Linked DNA regions of Schizosaccharomyces pombe. The protein of the gene in region 1 binds, or shares a complex with, the protein of each later gene. Each region holds a gene or a part of one and is shown in the gene's direction. Other genes may lie near its edges. The genes, in order: nto1, mst2, tfg3 and pdp3.

Evidence for each region.
Region 2: nto1 (region 1) and mst2 share a complex: the UniProt entries of both Schizosaccharomyces pombe proteins name them as parts of the mst2 complex.
Region 3: nto1 (region 1) and tfg3 share a complex: the UniProt entries of both Schizosaccharomyces pombe proteins name them as parts of the mst2 complex.
Region 4: nto1 (region 1) and pdp3 share a complex: the UniProt entries of both Schizosaccharomyces pombe proteins name them as parts of the mst2 complex.

What each region holds. Positions count from the first base shown.
Region 1 is NC_003423.3:3,309,899-3,314,464, reverse strand, and holds nto1 (histone acetyltransferase complex subunit Nto1), read left to right. Parts: upstream 1-1,555; 5' UTR 1,556-1,584; coding exon 1,585-3,888; 3' UTR 3,889-4,030; downstream 4,031-4,566. Other genes in the region: tif301 (translation initiation factor eIF3a), read right to left, coding at 1-43, 89-127; carboxymuconolactone decarboxylase-like protein, Pxp2, read left to right, coding at 4,271-4,480. UniProt on the Schizosaccharomyces pombe protein: Component of the mst2 complex which is a highly specific H3 lysine 14 (H3K14) acetyltransferase that functions together with gcn5 to regulate global levels of H3K14 acetylation (H3K14ac), critical for DNA damage checkpoint activation.
Region 2 is NC_003424.3:2,362,940-2,368,823, reverse strand, and holds mst2 (histone acetyltransferase Mst2), read left to right. Parts: upstream 1-1,889; 5' UTR 1,890-1,990; coding exon 1,991-2,443; exon of another isoform or gene 2,444-2,559; coding exon 2,560-2,649; exon of another isoform or gene 2,650-2,696; coding exon 2,697-3,377; 3' UTR 3,378-3,429; coding exon of another isoform or gene 3,430-5,256; 3' UTR 5,257-5,325; downstream 5,326-5,884. Other genes in the region: protein kinase C (PKC)-like Pck1, read left to right, coding at 1-567, 623-824, 869-1,057, 1,099-1,282, 1,328-1,419; exocyst complex subunit Sec3, read right to left, coding at 3,430-5,256. UniProt on the Schizosaccharomyces pombe protein: Component of the mst2 complex which is a highly specific H3 lysine 14 (H3K14) acetyltransferase that functions together with gcn5 to regulate global levels of H3K14 acetylation (H3K14ac), critical for DNA damage checkpoint activation.
Region 3 is NC_003424.3:893,427-897,097, forward strand, and holds tfg3 (TFIID, TFIIF, Ino80, SWI/SNF, and NuA4 complex YEATS family subunit Tfg3), read left to right. Parts: upstream 1-1,572; 5' UTR 1,573-1,939; coding exon 1,940-1,981; exon of another isoform or gene 1,982-2,170; coding exon 2,171-2,339; exon of another isoform or gene 2,340-2,396; coding exon 2,397-2,548; exon of another isoform or gene 2,549-2,612; coding exon 2,613-2,975; 3' UTR 2,976-3,121; downstream 3,122-3,671. Other genes in the region: protein mug35, read right to left, coding at 293-997; SPOM_SPAC22H12.03 (hydrolase), read left to right, coding at 3,451-3,671. UniProt on the Schizosaccharomyces pombe protein: Functions as a component of the DNA-binding general transcription factor complex TFIID, and the RNA polymerase II associated general transcription factor complex TFIIF.
Region 4 is NC_003424.3:4,335,137-4,338,997, forward strand, and holds pdp3 (PWWP domain-containing protein), read left to right. Parts: upstream 1-1,944; 5' UTR 1,945-2,111; coding exon 2,112-3,335; downstream 3,336-3,861. Other genes in the region: prp10 (U2 snRNP-associated protein SF3B1), read right to left, coding at 1-1,419, 1,486-1,590, 1,642-1,651; DNA replication factor C complex subunit Rfc2, read left to right, coding at 3,606-3,679, 3,732-3,861. UniProt on the Schizosaccharomyces pombe protein: Component of the mst2 complex which is a highly specific H3 lysine 14 (H3K14) acetyltransferase that functions together with gcn5 to regulate global levels of H3K14 acetylation (H3K14ac), critical for DNA damage checkpoint activation.

The sequences.
Region 1 (4,566 bases):
GTGCTGAGCTGTGCTGATCTAGAGCTATCAGCTCATCGGCAAGCTAATTTATGTTAGTCAAAGTAAGTAAAAAACTCATAATACATACCCTTAGCACATTTTCGGGCTTTCCTTGAGGAGGTGCCATGTTGTGCAGTTGAAAACTTCCCCCTTGTCGTAGTAAAATTTTATTACACGAATAGCGAGCTACCTCGCAGTTTTATATAAGCCACTAAACAAGAGGTACTTAATTCTTGATTTTGCAAAAAAAAATGTTAGCACATGCATATATATATAGTTAGTTGTTCATATCTTTCTTAGGTTTGACTTGAATAAGCATCACTTTTTGTGCAAAGAAATTAGTGGTTTACCGAATACGATAATATGACTAAATTTGAATAGATCGCCTAGTGTGAAGTGCTAACATACTCGTTAATCTATCATGTTTGTTTAAAAAATACCAGTTCAGTTTAGAACAGAGGAAAGCTCTATTTTTGCTTTTATTTGAACGTTTATGGGATAGTAGTCAGATTTTTCTGTTGCCGCTACTAATTACTATCGTTACACAATGTACATCCAAGAAATATTAGTACCGTTATAGTTTTGGAATTTTAGCCGTAGATCTGTTTCTACGCTAATCACCAAGTCCATTCTTTGTTTGATGTATTTGGTGATAAAACTAGTTAGTTCTTAAAATAATCTTTATTGCCGTTGAGTCGATACTCGCTTGAGTTCCTCATCAGGGCTTATGCATTGTTTTATACTTGTAGCATTGTCTAAACTCTTATTTACAATTGGCAACAAACTTATATAAACGTTGAGACCTTACCAGTGAAAGAAGTGTGGTTTGAGCGAAATATTTTCCGAGCCAATCTAAAATTTAAAGTGTTATCCTTGAAAAGTAGCAGAAACTCGCATTACTTTTACTCAAAGCTTGAATAAAGGAAGAAAGATTTAGCGAATATAGTTTGTCAAAGTATTATAATAAAGAGGTCATAACCCTATGTATTCCGAAAGATTTTTTTGTTAAAAAACGCTAAGTCCTCAATCTCTTCGACGCTAGGTAAACTCTAGAGGCCCATTTTGATGAAGCAATTTAATTGTGATTGGTGTAAATGTTAGACTTCTAGAAGAATAAACTAAGTGAAGTATTCGTTGATGGCGGGTACAAAAATATTAGCTTATAAACTATTCACAAAGATTCTTGAAAGGGCTTTTTATCAAGCATCTCGAAAATCTTTGTACTTTCACATCAACTGTATATAATTGTAACTCTTACATTTCCGTAAAATGCAAAATCACGCTTTCCAATTTCCTCTGGTTTTCTTTGAAAACAACACCAATAAATATAAAAAGAGAAAGAACGGGAAGAATAAATTTACCCCTTCCTATGTCCAAACTATTTTCATTTCAGAGTTCAACTGTTTACAATCATCTTTTTATTTCGGTCATTCACGTTACCCCCGCTTATTCTGCTTAATCATCAGCGGCAGAATGCACTATTGAAGTTTAAGCAAAATTGCACCTTTTTCTCGTAAATATAGTTACACCATGAAAGAAATGTAAAAAAGATAGTATGGTAAATCTATCTTGTAAAAGGCTTTCATGCAAACCTTCCGACTTACTTCTACTGGTCGAAATATTCTAAGACCCGATGAACTTGCTTTTCAGCCGAGAGAAGAGATTCCCTATAAATCTTTCCATCCAGACCTACAAATAGACGAACCTTTGGAAATATTAGAAGGTGACCATACACAATATGCAGGCCTTCGTGATTCTTTAGTAACCTATAAATCCGAGAATTCTTATGTGCTTAAAGCTTTGCTCAATGCCAAGATCGAAAACGTAAAGCCAGTAGGTGTTCAAACGGAAAATATTAATCCACAAGAGAAAAAATTTGGATATAAAACTGCGAAACAATTAGATTGGAGTCCAGACGAATATTTCAAGTTCGTTGCTATACATCCTTACTCAAAAACGTCCTTTCCTGTATCCTACGACTTGGATGAGTTAGACACAATGTGGTTAACATATTATAATGAGTTTCAACTTTCATCTAATTCAGAGTGGGAAAATGTTTCTAAAGAATTTTTAGAAATAGTTCTTACCATTATTGAACGCGAATGGCTTTATCTAGAGGCTTGGATGCCTAAGATTGAACCCGTCAGAGTGGAGGATGAACTAGATGGTCGTTGTGTTATTTGTAATGAAGCAGAATGCGAAAACAGTAATGCTATAGTTTTTTGCGATAACTGTAACACTTCTGTTCACCAGAATTGTTATGGAATCCCTTTTGTTCCAGAGGGTCAATGGTTTTGTAAGAAATGTTTACTAGCCCCTCATGAAGTTATATGCTGTGCTTTTTGTCCTGACAGAGATGGTGCGTTTTGCACAACCTTGGATGGACGTTGGTGCCACACAATTTGCGCCATAGCAATCCCTGAAATATCTTTTCACGACACTAGTAGATTAGACTTGGTTCGAAACATTGCTTCAATCCCAAAGTCTCGCTGGAAATTGGTGTGTTGCATTTGTAAACTTCGATGGGGTACTTGTGTGCAATGCTCAGATAAAAATTGTTATGCAGCTTACCATATAACTTGTGCTCGACGTGCAGGTTTTTTTTACAAAATATACTCACATTCTGCAAGTTATGATAGTGTTGATATGGAAACTTATTGTGATAAACATACTCCACCCGATTATTTAAACGGATTGATGAAGCGCTTGTTTCCGTTAGCTGAATTATATTACAAACGCATGGCTACAGACGTTCCACTCAACTTCCAAGCTACTAAAGCGCCTGATTTTGTGCCCGAAGGGCCATGGAAATCGCATCCATTACCGGCTTTTATTGTTGATAAAGTTACCAAAGTTTTATTGTCTTATAATGTTAAAAGGCAAGATCTGCCCTCCATAGTAACTGACATCTGCAAATTTTATCACATGAAACGCCGATCCCGAAAGGATGCGCCATTGCTTAAATCGCAACTCCTTATGGATAGTCTTGAAAATCTCCCGGTGAGGGCTTCTAAAGATCGCGTTAGGTCTTTAGAAGTAGCGAAGGCTCTACAAGATCAATATCAATCATTGCTTACTCTTGTAGAATCTACTGCTAAACGGCAATTATTAAAATGTCAATTATCAAACTTAAGAAAAAAATTTTTGAATTTAAACTATTTTCCTGCTCAACGGTTATTACAGGATACCCTTGTTAAAATTATAGATCTCGATGTCGATGGTCTTTTCAATATGCCGCTCGATAATGGATGGATTGGGTGGGTTGAATTAAAAAGACAAGTATTCAGTTATCAGATCGGCAGTATTAGCTCTCTAGAAAAGAAACTTGAGCCTATTTGGGATGTTGATGGTGTAATACAGTGTATTGATGATATGGAACAATTAACTGCCATGGTTCAGTTTGCACAAAAAACAGAAGGAGAAGTGAAAAAACTATTTATTAAGGCAAAAATATACTTTGAAAGTTTGAGTCTTGATGAAAGAGGGAATCTCAAAGTACCCTCTCTCGGTATTAACGGACTTGAGTATGATAACTGGCCCGGTTTAAACGAGCTTGAAATGAGTCAACTGGATATTCCTTCACAGGGAAATCTTAAGTCCTTACATGATTTTATTGAGGGTTTAGATTTGAATGAAAAAATAGGGAAATTTCCCATTTCTATGTTCCAAAATCAGGTTGCTCAGTTTTCGACAATTGAAATTCCTAAGATGTCTGGACGTGCTAACGGAATGCATAACTTCCATTCAGAAGATGTTACAGGACAAAGCAATCATGCTTTACCAAACAGTGTAACTAAAAAAAATGGCACCAAGCAACCATATACCAAAAATTCGCTTCCCTTTAATGAACGCATCACAAGATCTAAAGCCAAGAAAAACTATTCATGATACTGAAATTATTGTTAAGTTAGTTCATCGTTGCTTTAGTACCTATGACCAATTATTGATATCGAAACTTTATAATATCTAAAACCGTTAATTGTACATTTTAGTTCCGAATAGTTAATTTATTAATATTTTTCAAAAGCAATTTTTCTTAAATTTTCACGCAGTGAAATAGTCATCAAATACACTCACGCTCGTACCCAACAAAGATATTGCTAGACTAGCTTAGTGTGTAGTCTATTAGTAATCATTCTCGGTTTATATATAATCTGCTGCTCCTTTAAAGCGTTTCTATTTGGTATTTCTACTAAGTTACCGACTGTACTAACATATTACGTTACACACACTATCAGTCGTTGTTACATTATTAATCAAGAGTTAACAAATGACCCATAACACTATGCTTCAAAGATTTAATGGTTTATTAGAGCCTACACATTTGTATATTGTATCTGTTGTAGCTTATTCAGCTTGCAACCGACCGGATAAAATAAGTGGGATAGCTAAGGAAGCAATGGAGCATGTGGGACCAAGTATTTATCCAAAATTAAGAGAAGCATTAGTAAAATCATCTCCATTAGTTGGATTTCCTAGAGTATGATTATAATGATCATGTTTTCTTCGATTTCACTTCAGGTGATGCGAAGATAATAGTATTTTAGCAGCCAAACTGTAACTAAC
Region 2 (5,884 bases), on another chromosome or scaffold:
TGATACATTACCAACGATATCTCAGGGCTTACTTGCTGCTACTCAGCCAGTTACAAGTGTACTTAATACGTCTCCACTTCCAAAAACCCCTGAGAAAGATCGATCTTTAAATGTTACTCCTTCCTCTTCTACTCCTACTCCAGCTTCTGTTCTTGCTCCACCTTCCAGTGCTAGCTTATCGTCTTCCAAGGATGCTAATAGAAGTGTTCCAGAAAGTCCACGCAGAGAGAAAAAGAATCGTGTTACGCTTGACGACTTCACATTTTTGGCTGTATTAGGGAAAGGCAATTTTGGCAAGGTTATGTTGGCTGAATATAAAGTGAATAAAAAGTTTTATGCCATCAAAGTTCTGAAAAAAGAAGCCATTTTAAAGAATGAGGAACTAGAGAGTTTAAAAACTGAAAAGCATGTTTTCGAAGTCGCGAATAAAGAAAAACATCCGTTCTTGCTGAATCTTTTTGCAAGCTTTCAAACTAGTACCAGGGTTTACTTCGTTATGGAATATATTCTTGGTGGTGACCTTATGGTTCATATTCAACGTCAACAGTTTAGCGTGAAACGTGCAAGGTAGTACTTCAATCTTTATTTTTATTTTTATTTTTATTTTTTATTAACCCCATAGATTTTATGGTGCTGAGGTTTGTTTAGCATTGAAGTATTTTCATGAGAATGGAATTGCTTACCGTGATTTGAAATTGGATAATATTCTACTTTGTCCTGATGGTCATATACGAATTGCTGATTATGGACTCTGCAAAGAAAATATGTTGCTTGGCAATACAACTTCCACCTTTTGTGGTACCCCCGAATTCATGGCTCCAGAAGTAAGGCGGAACTTGTTTTGGTTTATTTTATCTAACGAAAATAGATTTTATTAGAACAGCAATATTCCAAGGATGTTGATTGGTGGGCTTTTGGCGTTTTGATGTATCAAATGTTACTGGGTCAATCCCCTTTCAAAGGTGAAGATGAAGAGGAAATATTCGATGCGATTTTAAGCGATGAACCGTTGTTTCCGATTAATATGCCAGCGGATGCGGTTTCGTTATTGAGAGGGGTATGCAAATTTCTAAATATGTTAACTAATTCAAAAAATAGCTTTTAACAAGAGATCCAAATCAACGACTTGGTAGTGGACCAAAAGACGCAAACGAGGTTATGGCTCATCCTTTCTTTGCTAGTATTGTCTGGGATGACTTGTATAACAAACTTTATGAACCATCATATAAACCGCTTATCAACGATCCCCGAGACCTCAATAATTTTGATGAAGAATTTACAAGTATGACAATTGTTAAAATATGGTTAATTACTAACGATCGATTAGGTGCATGTCCAACTTTGACACCTGTCAATACTGTTCTCACACGACAACAACAAGAGTGTTTCAGAGGATTTTCCAGTTTTGCTACTGAATAGAATTAGCTTGTCCTTTGCTTCTGCTTTTTTAAAATTAGAAAATTATGGTAACAATTTCATATAGTTCTGATGCTGCTTCCTTTGCATTCTTACACTTAATTTAGTGTACTCACCCTTTACATGATATTTTTTTTACTTTTCTACGTGTTCATATTTAAAAAATTTCTGCATTTATCATCATTACATTACTTGAAAATAAAGTCGAAATTAGAGAATAATTAAAGTGGCATTAAAACTACTAATGTAAAACTTATCGTTGAATCACCCAAGGTGACTTTGTAGTATTTATACGCAACGTTTGTAATGGCATTCAATCAAAAAGCTAACAGTGAAGTTATGAATGGTTACTGTTTCAGAATACAAAAGTAAAAAATATGAGTAGTTTTTTATTTAACAAGAGTGAAAGGGTTATCTTTGCAGAGATCGGATGGAGGTGGAAGTAAAGCAAGAACTAAGAAGAGAATGAGGGCACTACCACCAACTCAATTATATTGACCAAAGGATTAAATGGGGCCATTAGGAAAACTATGAACGATCTGTAAATATAAACAATCTTTTTTTTTTATGTATAATGCCGGCGACTATTTTGAAATCCACAGCCAGTTCAAAGACTTTGTTAATAATAAAGTTTGATACAAACTCCTCCAGATATCCATTTTATAAGAAACATTTATTAGAGTTAAATTCGGAAAGTACTTTTTTGGGTCTATTAACTAAAGGGCAAGCTGACACATCGATTACGAGACTCAACCAAGACGATGTGAGGCTGTTTGAAAAAGCAAAGACAGTAGCAGATAGGACAAAGGATGTGGCTTATTCATTTTCCGATCCTATTTTATCTACACAGTTGCGAACGCCTCCACCACAACCAACCTCCATTCGATACCTCTATTTTGGTACTTACCGGATAAAACCATGGTATACATCACCGTATCCAGAGGAGTATAGCTGTGCAAAAAATTTATATATATGCGAATCTTGTTTAAAGTATATGAACAGTGATCATGTACTACAAAGGCACAAGGTAAACAACTTTTCAAGTAAGATCATAATGTTATTCGCTATTGCTTGAGTTTAAACGAGGTGTACATTAAAAGATCATAATCTATCCAAATTGAATTTACGGACTAACATAATCAGATGAAATGCTCATGGAGTTATCCACCAGGAGATGAAATATATCGGGATAAGAATATATCAATTTTTGAAGTTGATGGTCAACGGCAACCGGTAAGTAATTTTTTATGCATTTTATACTTATTGATGTTTTTCCTTAGATATATTGTCAAAATTTATGTCTTCTAGCAAAGATGTTTCTTCATTCAAAAATGCTGTACTATGACGTTGAACCGTTTCTTTTCTATGTATTGACTGAATTTGATGGCCAAGAATGCAAAGTTATTGGATATTTCAGTAAAGAGAAACGCTCGGCTTCTGATTATAACGTTTCCTGTATATTAACATTACCCATTTACCAACGCCGAGGATATGGTGTCTTTTTGATTGATTTTAGTTATTTACTTACACAGGTAGAAGGTAAGCTTGGATCACCTGAAAAGCCACTTTCAGATTTAGGCCTCGTTACGTACCGAAGCTATTGGAAAATGAGAGTAGCCAAAGCTCTATTGGAAATCACAACACCGATTAGCATAAATGCTATCGCCAAATCAACATCTATGGTATGCGACGATGTTATATCCACATTGGAATCGTTATCTGTATTTAAGTATGATCCGCTCAAAAAGAAATATGTATTACAACTGAAACGGGATGAACTTGAGAATGTTTATAAAGCTTGGAATATCAAACACCCTCAAAGAGTAAATCCAAAACTTCTAAGATGGACGCCATATCTCGGAGAAGAGCAGATATCTAACCTTTTACTTAAAGAAAATATACTTATTCCTCTACCTCAAAAGCGTCTATTAGATAACTCTCATCATCTGGATTCCGTTTAGTTCAAATAAATAAGTATTTTAATCTTTCGATATTTGTCGTGAAGCATTTGTATCATCTACGGCTTGGTTGTTGCTCTATATTAATGACGCCATTTAATGCAGTAGACAACTCTAGGGAAAATAAGTTGATGGTTGAATTGATAGACTCACAACCTAAAGCACAATCTTGAAGTTGGCTCTTAATGTTTTGCAATTCGATTTCTTCTTCAGCAAGGTTTTCCACACTGCTTATGATAGCTCCATCAAACGAAAATTCTGTTTGTTTCAATACATCTTTTATAGTTGTACCTTCATTCCACTTCAAAGTGGAAAGACGAGAAATGCTTTGCTCCGGAATGTTTTTGAGGTTGATTTTTGAGTTAAGATCGTAAACTTTTTCAACAGAAGCTTGGTGCGGTTTAGTCGGAATGGAAGTAACAAGAGTTTTCTTGGCTTTTGGCTTGGAAGTGGTTTTTCTATTTTCAAAGCGCAAACTTTCAAAAAGGGGAAGAAGTTCATTTCCTATAGAAGGCTCGTCGTTTGGTGGTTCGATTTGTTTACCAGTCGAAGGAGTTGCCCGAACAGTTGGCTGACGGGACGGGTGCTTTGGAGGTAATTTAGGAATAGCCGGTGCTCCTGTTGGTTTTCGAGAAACAGACTTTGCTGATACTTTAGACGAACTGGAAGGCTTGTAAGATGACGTTAATACTGAAGGAGTTTCTAAGCTAGAAGATAAAGCTGCCTGGGTAGCATCACGATCCACTTTACTAAAATCGCTAGCAAATGTGTTTGACTCCAAAGAAGAGCTTAGTTTCACGTCTTTTTGAGACATATTATACTTACCAGCTTCTAGTGCCAAAGCTGTATTTTTCTCGTAAGAACCACTGATGCTATTCTTACCCCTTTCCGAAGAACTCGTTCCACTGTTAAATGAGGGTGCTTGTTCACGACGAGTAGTTTTACGTAAAGAAGGTTTAGATGGAAACAATTGAGCTTGTTCTTGAATAAACATTTCCCGTGTTTGATTATCTCGTCTTTGAGTTGAAGTATCGAATAAGACATCATCTTTTCGGTCTCCTGAAGTCCTTGCAATGGCAGAAGAACTTGAAATTTCTATAACATCACTATGGGCAGATGATGGGGTCCCCCGGGAAACGTTGGAAGAAGGCTTATTGTCAGAAAACCGTCTTTCTTTTTCAACACTCAACTTCTTTTTGGCTGATCGAGAAGAATCAATAGTGAGCTTCTTCTCGATGCGAGGCTGATCCGTTTCTAAATTGGTAACAATTGGGCCGTCCGAAAAATTACGGTTATGTGCGACTCGAGAGTTAAAAGATGAGGAAACTTGTTCTGAAGAATTTTCAGGTAATGATGACCTTGCTTTAGGAATAGCTAGGCTCTTTGCAGGATAGAGATTAGGTTTGTTATCAGCAAAGGAATTACGATAGGCCCAGTCCACTTTGCGGCCATCAGTCGTAGTCACTGAAAGCGGCCTGCCCATATAGTACATATAATTTTTAGCAACAGAAAAAACAAATCGATCGCGAGCAGAAGTGTCCTGAGTTCGCAACAAATGTGGCTTGTTTATTGTCATAGTAACATCATGATCATTAATTACAGTAATATTCTGCAACTCAAATAAAGGCCAGGATTTCACGACTGTCATTCCGCCTTTATCATTTACTTTCAATCTGTGTATATAAAAAATACGAGTCACATCATCACAAGTCAAAGCAATGTAGCGGGGTTTCATCTTTGAGCCAACAACATTAACTCCTCTTTCTTCCTCCACCGGAAGATATGCTAATGATTGCTCATGAGCTTTCCGTTTATCGGTAGTTTGAGCCGAATTGACAGCTTGTAGAATTTCTTGTTCAACGGCATTAGGGTTAGAAGCCATTCGTCTGAAGTGGTGTATTAAATGAAAAAAATTGGGTTAAATAGATAAATATTAACAAAAAAAAAACCATTAATTAAACATTCTACCACTTTCCAATGGCAAGTAATACTGAAAGCGCCTTATTCAACGGAAAAACAAATTTTCTAAGGAAACGAGACTTTTTTTTAATTCACAGAGTCTTTATAAGCAAGGGATAAAATTTTCTTGTAAAATTGAATTCTAGCGGTAAAGAAATATATAAATTTGATAATAATTTTTACAATTGTGGTGGAATGGTGGGTTAATAAGGAGAAATGTCAAAACGTAAACAAGTGACATATGTAGGCAAATGCTATAGAAGTCGATTTTTTAAAGTTTATTTAAACTTGCAAGCATTGTCTACGTTCATAATATTTATATATATTTAAACATCTTTAAATATTTTTGCTGTGCATGAAAAGTACAATAATCCATAACTTTTTTGTTGATGACTTCGCTGTACTTTATGGCAGCTTTGTTTATTCGACGAGCTTAAAAAATCCAAATTATTGAAACAGGAAACACATTGATAGCCATAGTGTAATTCTAATTGCATAACCAGCAACGTTTAAAATGGTTAGCTATAGTTAAGTATTAGTACTACGCAGGA
Region 3 (3,671 bases), on another chromosome or scaffold:
TCGGTTTGGAAATCCGCTAGAAAGTGAAGAAGAATGTATACATAAAAGGTGTAATTAGGTTCAATTCCCAATTTACATCTAAATAAATAATGCTGATACTAGGAACGTTCTTTATCATAAAATGAAATGTGTTTCAACAAATACCTAATTAAGCATTTATCGTTTTAATCATCTTTTTTTAATTTACAAATATTTTATAAAAATAAAAAAAGTGTTTAGATATTTCTTGGGTAAAAGACACTAAACGGTTGCTAAACATTTGTGTCGATTGAATATGAATGATATAATATCGTTAAAAATGCGTTGGAATCACTTGGTTTGAATGTTGGAAATTAGATTCCAAACCCATGCGAATGAAGCGTAGAAATTCATCGACACTCATGCCATTTCTGGAGCAGATTTTCCAAAGACTAGCAGTTTGTTCCATTACTAGCTCATCCAAACCAAGACGATCATATTTCTTCGATCGATGCTTAGGTTCTTGGACAAGGTTTCTAGATTCTTCTACATCTTGATTGGAAGGTTGGTCAAGATCATAACGATCCCAGTAAGGCTTTTCGCTGTGTGAAACAGGAGAAACATCCCGCTCCTTGTCAGTGGATGTTAAGTCACCACTAGAATCGCGTCTCAACAATTGTTTTTGGGTTTTATCATAGAGGCCCATAAGTTTCAGAGAATGATCCTTTTGGTAAAAAAATACCTCAAATTCATACTTCCCTGCTTCAAATAAATACGATATCACATGGTCTTCAGGTGTCCCGCGACCAACAAACTTGGCAGAACGAGGGTCAAAGCTTTGCAAAAATTTCCATAACTCTTCTGACTCCTCTTTGCTGAGGTCCTTATTTATAACTAATCCTTCCCACCATCGATCCGTGGGTGCTAAAAACTTGACTCTCAACTGCAAGATAGGGGTAACAACACCATCTAGTTGTTTGGGATTTTTCAAAGGGAATATGCCTAAGCATGCTAATTCATCATGTCTTTCGTTAGTCATGTTTCACTGTGTACTAAAGTGAAATTAAATCAAAGCTTAAGCTGCCGGGTGTAATTGACAATGTGAACAACGCATATGCTACCACTCCATTTATATACGTAACTGACACGGCTTCTGGATAACGAGGATCGATTACTGACACAATCAATTTTTTAAAATATTAAACAACTTTCACTATTCTCGTATTAGCAACAAAGTTCTTTTGCTGCGGTATTTTTTGTTATTCTCAAATGTTCTAAAGAAGTTGCCAGATTAATCCATCGCTGGAAAAGAATCCAATAGTTCAAAGTTCTTTCAGCTAAAGCCTAGATCCAATTTATGAATAAGCTAACTTGGGAATCGGGATAAACTCTTACCTCTGCATAAAAATAATATACCCAATGCCTTATATTAACATGGTGCTCGAGGGTTTGTTTACTATATAGTTCGAGTAAAATTCATCGCATCCAAAAGTTTCGTTATTATGCTTTAAAATTAAACTGACTGTGCATTAAAGTTTTTAGTATATTACACTGCAGTACCATACCTTCACTGTCAGTTTGTAAGTCTACTTGTACTTTCCAGGAATTTGGGCCGTGACGAACCCAAAAGTCATATTCCACTATTCAAACGTTTTATAGTCTCACAGTTTTAGCAGTTACTTCCCTGTAATCTGCTAATAAATTTTAACAAAAGAGATATTTGTTATTAAACCAAAGTCATTTGCTTTATCCTTGAGTTAACCGACTTTTAGAAGTCCTTAAAAGTAGTAGTGCTCAATATTTCTGAACACAAATTACTGGTGCTTCTATTTCAATTCGTACATTGGCAAGATTTTTTATCTTTTCAATTTTAAGAATACCGCAAAAGTTATAGAATCGTTAGCCCGATATCTCTTCTCACGACTCGCTAAGCGTCTTCTATCCATATATTTTTCGTCCTCATATACATTGATTTAAGAATATGACAACTGTGAAAAGAACTGTGAGATTAATTACTGATCAGGTATGAAAGCCATCTGATTCATTTGCTACGACCGAGGCGCGTTATTTGACCCAATGGTCAAGGTTAGGTGCAATTACAAAAAACTTTGGCATTATACAGGATGCTCGTACAATTGAATTTAGAAGAACAATAAAAAACAAAACTTTTTCTTGCAAGTATCTTGATGAACTTTGAACTTACAATATTTAGAATGTGTTGCCGGGAGGTGAAGCAGCTGTGTTGAACGATCAAAGCTTCCCTGTGAGGGAATGGTCTATAAAATTGGTCTGCTTAAATCCTCAGGGAGAAGAAACTGACGCTTCCTTTGTTGATCGTGTCACCTATAAGCTACATCCAACATTTCAAAATCCTACACGCAGTATGTATTATGTGATGAAAGGAAGATTAGCAGAATAACGTTAACTAATTTTTTTAGCTATCAGAAAACCTCCTTTCCAAATAAAAGAGCAAGGATGGGGTGAGTTTGAAATGGAGATCATAATATACTATGCGGACAAAGGTGGTGAACATCGGTTCCTTCACTATTTACATTTTCAGCAGGAGCATTATCATGAGGATATCGAATTGGTATGTGTTTTAAGTATTTTAACATTTACTAGACTCTGATTTTATGGTGCTAACTGAGTCTTAGAATATCAATGCTACTAGGCCAGGTTTATTAAAGGCACTGACAGCCACTGGAGAAGTACCTGGCTACAGTGATGAAGGTGAAGAAGCTCGTAAGGATAAAAGAAAAAACGAATCAGAAGTTGGTGCTGGGAAGAAAAAGGCGAAAGCTAAACCTGTTGACATGGATAAACTTGCAGAGGGTTTGCAAAAACTTCAGGAGGATGACTTGTTACAAGTTGTGCAGATGGTGAATGAGAACAAAACACCAGACATGTATGTCCGAAACGACATTGAAGGGGGTGAATTCCATATTGACTTATATACTCTGCCGGACAATCTTCTGCTCTTATTATACAGTTTCTGTGCTAAACGCGTCACTATGTAATTAAGAGCATTGCAGTTTTGTGCAGCCTACTTTAAGGGAGAAGCGTTAGTTTCCCCATTCTACTTTTTTCCTGAAGACTGCTTAATGAGTTCTTGTATCATAATTTAAATAAGAAATTTCATTCCTTTTCACTATTTTTTGAGTTTAACTTGCGCTTAAACAGCGATACAAACATTTGTATTTTGGTACTATGGTGTAGCTTTTGTCTCGAAAAAGAATATTTGGTTAGATTAATATAATTATTTTTGTTTTTACTTACATAATATTTTAAAACCGACCTTTTTAGCTTTCATAATCAGCAATTCAGATTATGATCACACTGCCGATAAGTAGTTATTTATCATTCCTTGGATTAGGCTCACTTTGCTATTCGCAAACGTTTCCTGCAACTACAACTTCATGACAGATTAAATTATAATTATTTTATATCGACCTTATAGTGTTTATTTATTACTGCACAAGAAATTATAGAGTTATGTCTCTAAAACCAGTTAAATTAGCCTTTGAGAAGTATTCTGCCACAGTTGCTAAACACCCCCCAGTTTTGATCTTCCACGGACTATTGGGATCTAAGCGTAATTGGAGAAGTTTGGCAAAAAAGTTTTCCTGCAAACTTGACCGGGATATTTACGCTATTGATCAGAGGTGTCATGGAGATTCTCCCTGTGTAGCTCCTCTCAGCTATTCCGCCATGGC
Region 4 (3,861 bases), on another chromosome or scaffold:
CTTTTAAAAAAGGTAAAAGAGCCGGCACGCCTAGTGCAGAGGCAACAACCGAAAAGGCACGGGCTGTGGTGTTTCGGACATATTCGTCGACATGATCAATGTCAGGTCTCATTGTAGCAATCATATGAGCCAAGCCGGAAGCTTTAGCTAAGTTACTAATGATTTCCCGACCTTCAGCACGTGCATAGTAATCTTCATCAATAAGAAGGGGTTCAATAACTACGAGAATTTTATGAGTAAAAGGGCGAACCAGATCATCCAATTTGTATAATATACGATCAATAACCTTAACTAAAAGATGGCGCTCCTGATCTTCCAGTGTTCGTTCCATTAACAACGGAAGAATCTGATTAAATAAAGCAGCTGCACCAAAGTCGCGAGCTTGATCCGTAAGCTGGCGTAATGCACTCTTACGCATGGGAGGAGTACCATTTTTTACTTTCAGAAGTAATCTCAAAATTTTACGTTCACGAAGTTCCGCAATTGTAAGCTTGGCCTCGTCCTCCACCTTGAGTAACTTGCCAAAATATTTAACATCTTCTTGCTTAAAAAAAGCTAAATCACCTACACCGGGTATTTCTGTAGGCAATGCAGCTGGTAATTCTTTTTCTAAAGGAAGCTCTTGCTCTTGTGGAACGTGATATGTATCGAGCGTAGTACCTTTTTGAAGTAGTTCAGGATGAATTGATTCTAAATATCCAGGAGGAGGCTCCAAAATAGCATAGCCTTCTGACGGCAAAAGCTCATTTAACTCTTCTTCAGTTAATAAACGGACAGGAGGTCGTAATTTTTCTTCTACTACATTTACTTCCTTATTAATAAGATCTTCAGAAATTCCGTTTTCTATAACATGTTCAGATATAGTGAAGTTTTCAGGAGCTTTGTCCCAACGTGATCTACGCTTAGTAGTGGAAACCTGCGTAACGCTAGGTGGAGCCTGATCCCAACGAGAGCGTTTAGGCTTCTGAGATATTTCCGTATTATTAAGCTCTAGTTCTCTTTTTTTGTCCGATATGCTTTCCTCCTCCTCCACCTCTTTTAGTGTTCCTTCACGACGTCTTTGATTTAATTCCATATGAACTCGTCGCTCTTCCTTTTCTAATTCAACCTGCCGCATAACCTCCGCATAAGATCTTCCATTGCTCTGTGTCCCATCAGGTTGAAAAGCATCTACGCGGGTTGGAGTAAGCTGTCTATCATAACGCTGCTTTTGATAATCTGACTCGCGATCCTGAATTTGCTTTTTTGACTGTCTCTCTTGCATAGGGTCATAACTTTCATCAGCGTATTCATTTAGTAGTTCCTTAGGTGCTTCATATTGACGCACTAAACGATAACTATCATTAACATCGTTTGTACGTTTATAATCGTCTTCATCCTGAGAGATATCATTGCGCACGTCAATTGCGGAGTCATATTCTTCTTTTGGGTTACTGGACTTAAAAAGATGAGCATTATATTGTAAATCATTAGAATCCTGGGTACCTTCAATATTTACACTTCCATTTGTCGACGAATTCTTCGCTGCCTCTTTTTGTCTTCGCAAAAGTTCTCTTTCAGCACGAAGCCTTTCTATTTCCACATCTTCTACTTTATTTAGGTTAGTAACATCCATTTTGAACATTTTATAAGGATACGTACCAGTTGACATGTTGATGGCGAAGAAATGCTTTCATGTTGCGCGTCTTATACTCATTTAAATATACTCAAAGCATTCTAAGCTTCGTTATCAATATTTTAAAGTACAATACAGTAACTCGTTTTGTAGAATAACGATAAGATTAACGTGTCTTATTTAGTTTAACCCTCTTTATTAAGATTTATTTGCGAAAGAAATATATACTATCGAAAAAATTAGTATGAGGAATGATATTGAAATATCGAGGTATCATATTGCAACAGCTCAAGCTTTTAGCACCCCCCCCCTCTGCTATTGTAGATCTTGTAAGCGTTGCTGCAATTAATTGATAATAGACAAGCGTCTTACGGTTTCTACTTGTATATCCTAATATTTGGTGGAACCTTTACAAATTGATGTAAAATCTCTTTGGAAAAATTCAGCACTATATCGCTTTAATGTGAAGTTTGGCTTATAAGGAATGTAATTAACGATGATGGTTGCTAGGACACGCAGTCAAAAAAGAAAGCTTGAAGAGATTAATAACCAGAAGAAGATTAAAACAAAAAAAAAGGCCACCGGGCAACAGACTTCTAATACGAAAAATCTGCGTGATGTTAAAAAGAAAGGTAAACAATTAGCGTATGTTCCGAGGACGTCACCAAGGAAATCATATAAAAATGGGGAATATGTTTTAGCAAAGATGAGTAGCTTCCCATGGTGGCCAGCCAGAGTAGCGAGCCAAAAATCAATACCCACTGAGGTACGCGAACGATTGAAACGAAATTTTCGAATGGACAATGGAATATTTGTTCAGTTTCTTCCTTCAAGAGATTACGCTATTATTTCTTCTTCAAATGTTTTGCCCTTAACTGTTGATGAATCAAGGTTTATTTTGGACCATGATTTATCGACAAAGTATATCCAAAAGACGGTAGGTCTCATCATTGCTTCCGTAAAGAGAAAAGTTTCTTTTTCTGATGTCGAAGAGGATGAGTTTGAACCAGAGAATACTCGTAAAAAACTTCAAAAGCCCATCGAGAAACCAAAAAAGGAAAAGATAGAAGCCACACCTAAAATTGACGGGGGTAAAAGGTTAAAAAATGAGAAATCGTCGGCAGAAATTTCTCAAACATCGAAGCAACGACCTTCACGTAGGTCAGCTCGAGTTAGGATGGCTACAGACAACGCTCAGAAATCCCCATCTCCAATTCCTTCTCCCAAGAAAACAGCCAAAAAAAGAGTAAGGTTTGCCGGTTCTTTAGAGGAATTACCAAAATTTTCACTTGAATATCAATTGGCTCAGCCTATAAGTACTGTAGATATGTATGCTCAAGTTCATTATATTCGATTTAATACTCTTTTATATTACCGCTACCAACTACAAGAAATCCTACTGTCATATAATCATTATCCTCAAGAATCGGATATGTCTCATGTGCACCAAATATTGGAGATGATTGAGAATTTCAGCGCAATAAATTCTGAACTATTAGAATCAACCAAGTTGTATTCACTTTTTACTTTGCTTGTTAAATTAAGCGACATACCGTTGGATGAAAAATATGACTTTTCTTCACGATTTTCGACTCTTCTCCTTCAATTCCAAGCATTCGTTCAGCCCAAAACCATGACAAGTAATGTATCTACAGCGCCCATTGGAAAGAATGCTCAAGTGAACACAGAAGCTGCCAGACCATCTGTCATCACTACCTAACTTTTGATCATACATTCATATGCTTTTGTTATCGAATTACATAACTAATCTTGTTTACATTTAATGTTACGATAATATTTGCTTCCAACATTTTCATTAATATAGAACGCATTATTAGCGCGACTCAATGTGTTTATGGTACAAATCGTTACAATACGTTATCCTAGTATGTAAGCAAGAACAAGCATTGCTTACTACCATTTCGTAGTAGGTACCGTCAGTGTTTTTTTTTTTTACTTGCGATATCTCGTGTATACTAATTTAAAAAAAATGTCTTTCTTTGCTCCAAGGAATAAGAAAACGGAGCAGGAAGCAAAGAAATCAATACCTTGGGTTGAGCTTTAGTATGTAAATAGAGAATACTTTTTAAGAACAATAACATTAACACGTATGTAGTCGTCCCAAGACATTGGACCAAGTTTCCTCTCAAGAATCTACTGTACAAGTATTAAAAAAAACACTTTTATCTAATAACTTACCTCACATGTTGTTTTATGGCTCTCCTGGTACTGGAAAGACGTCAACC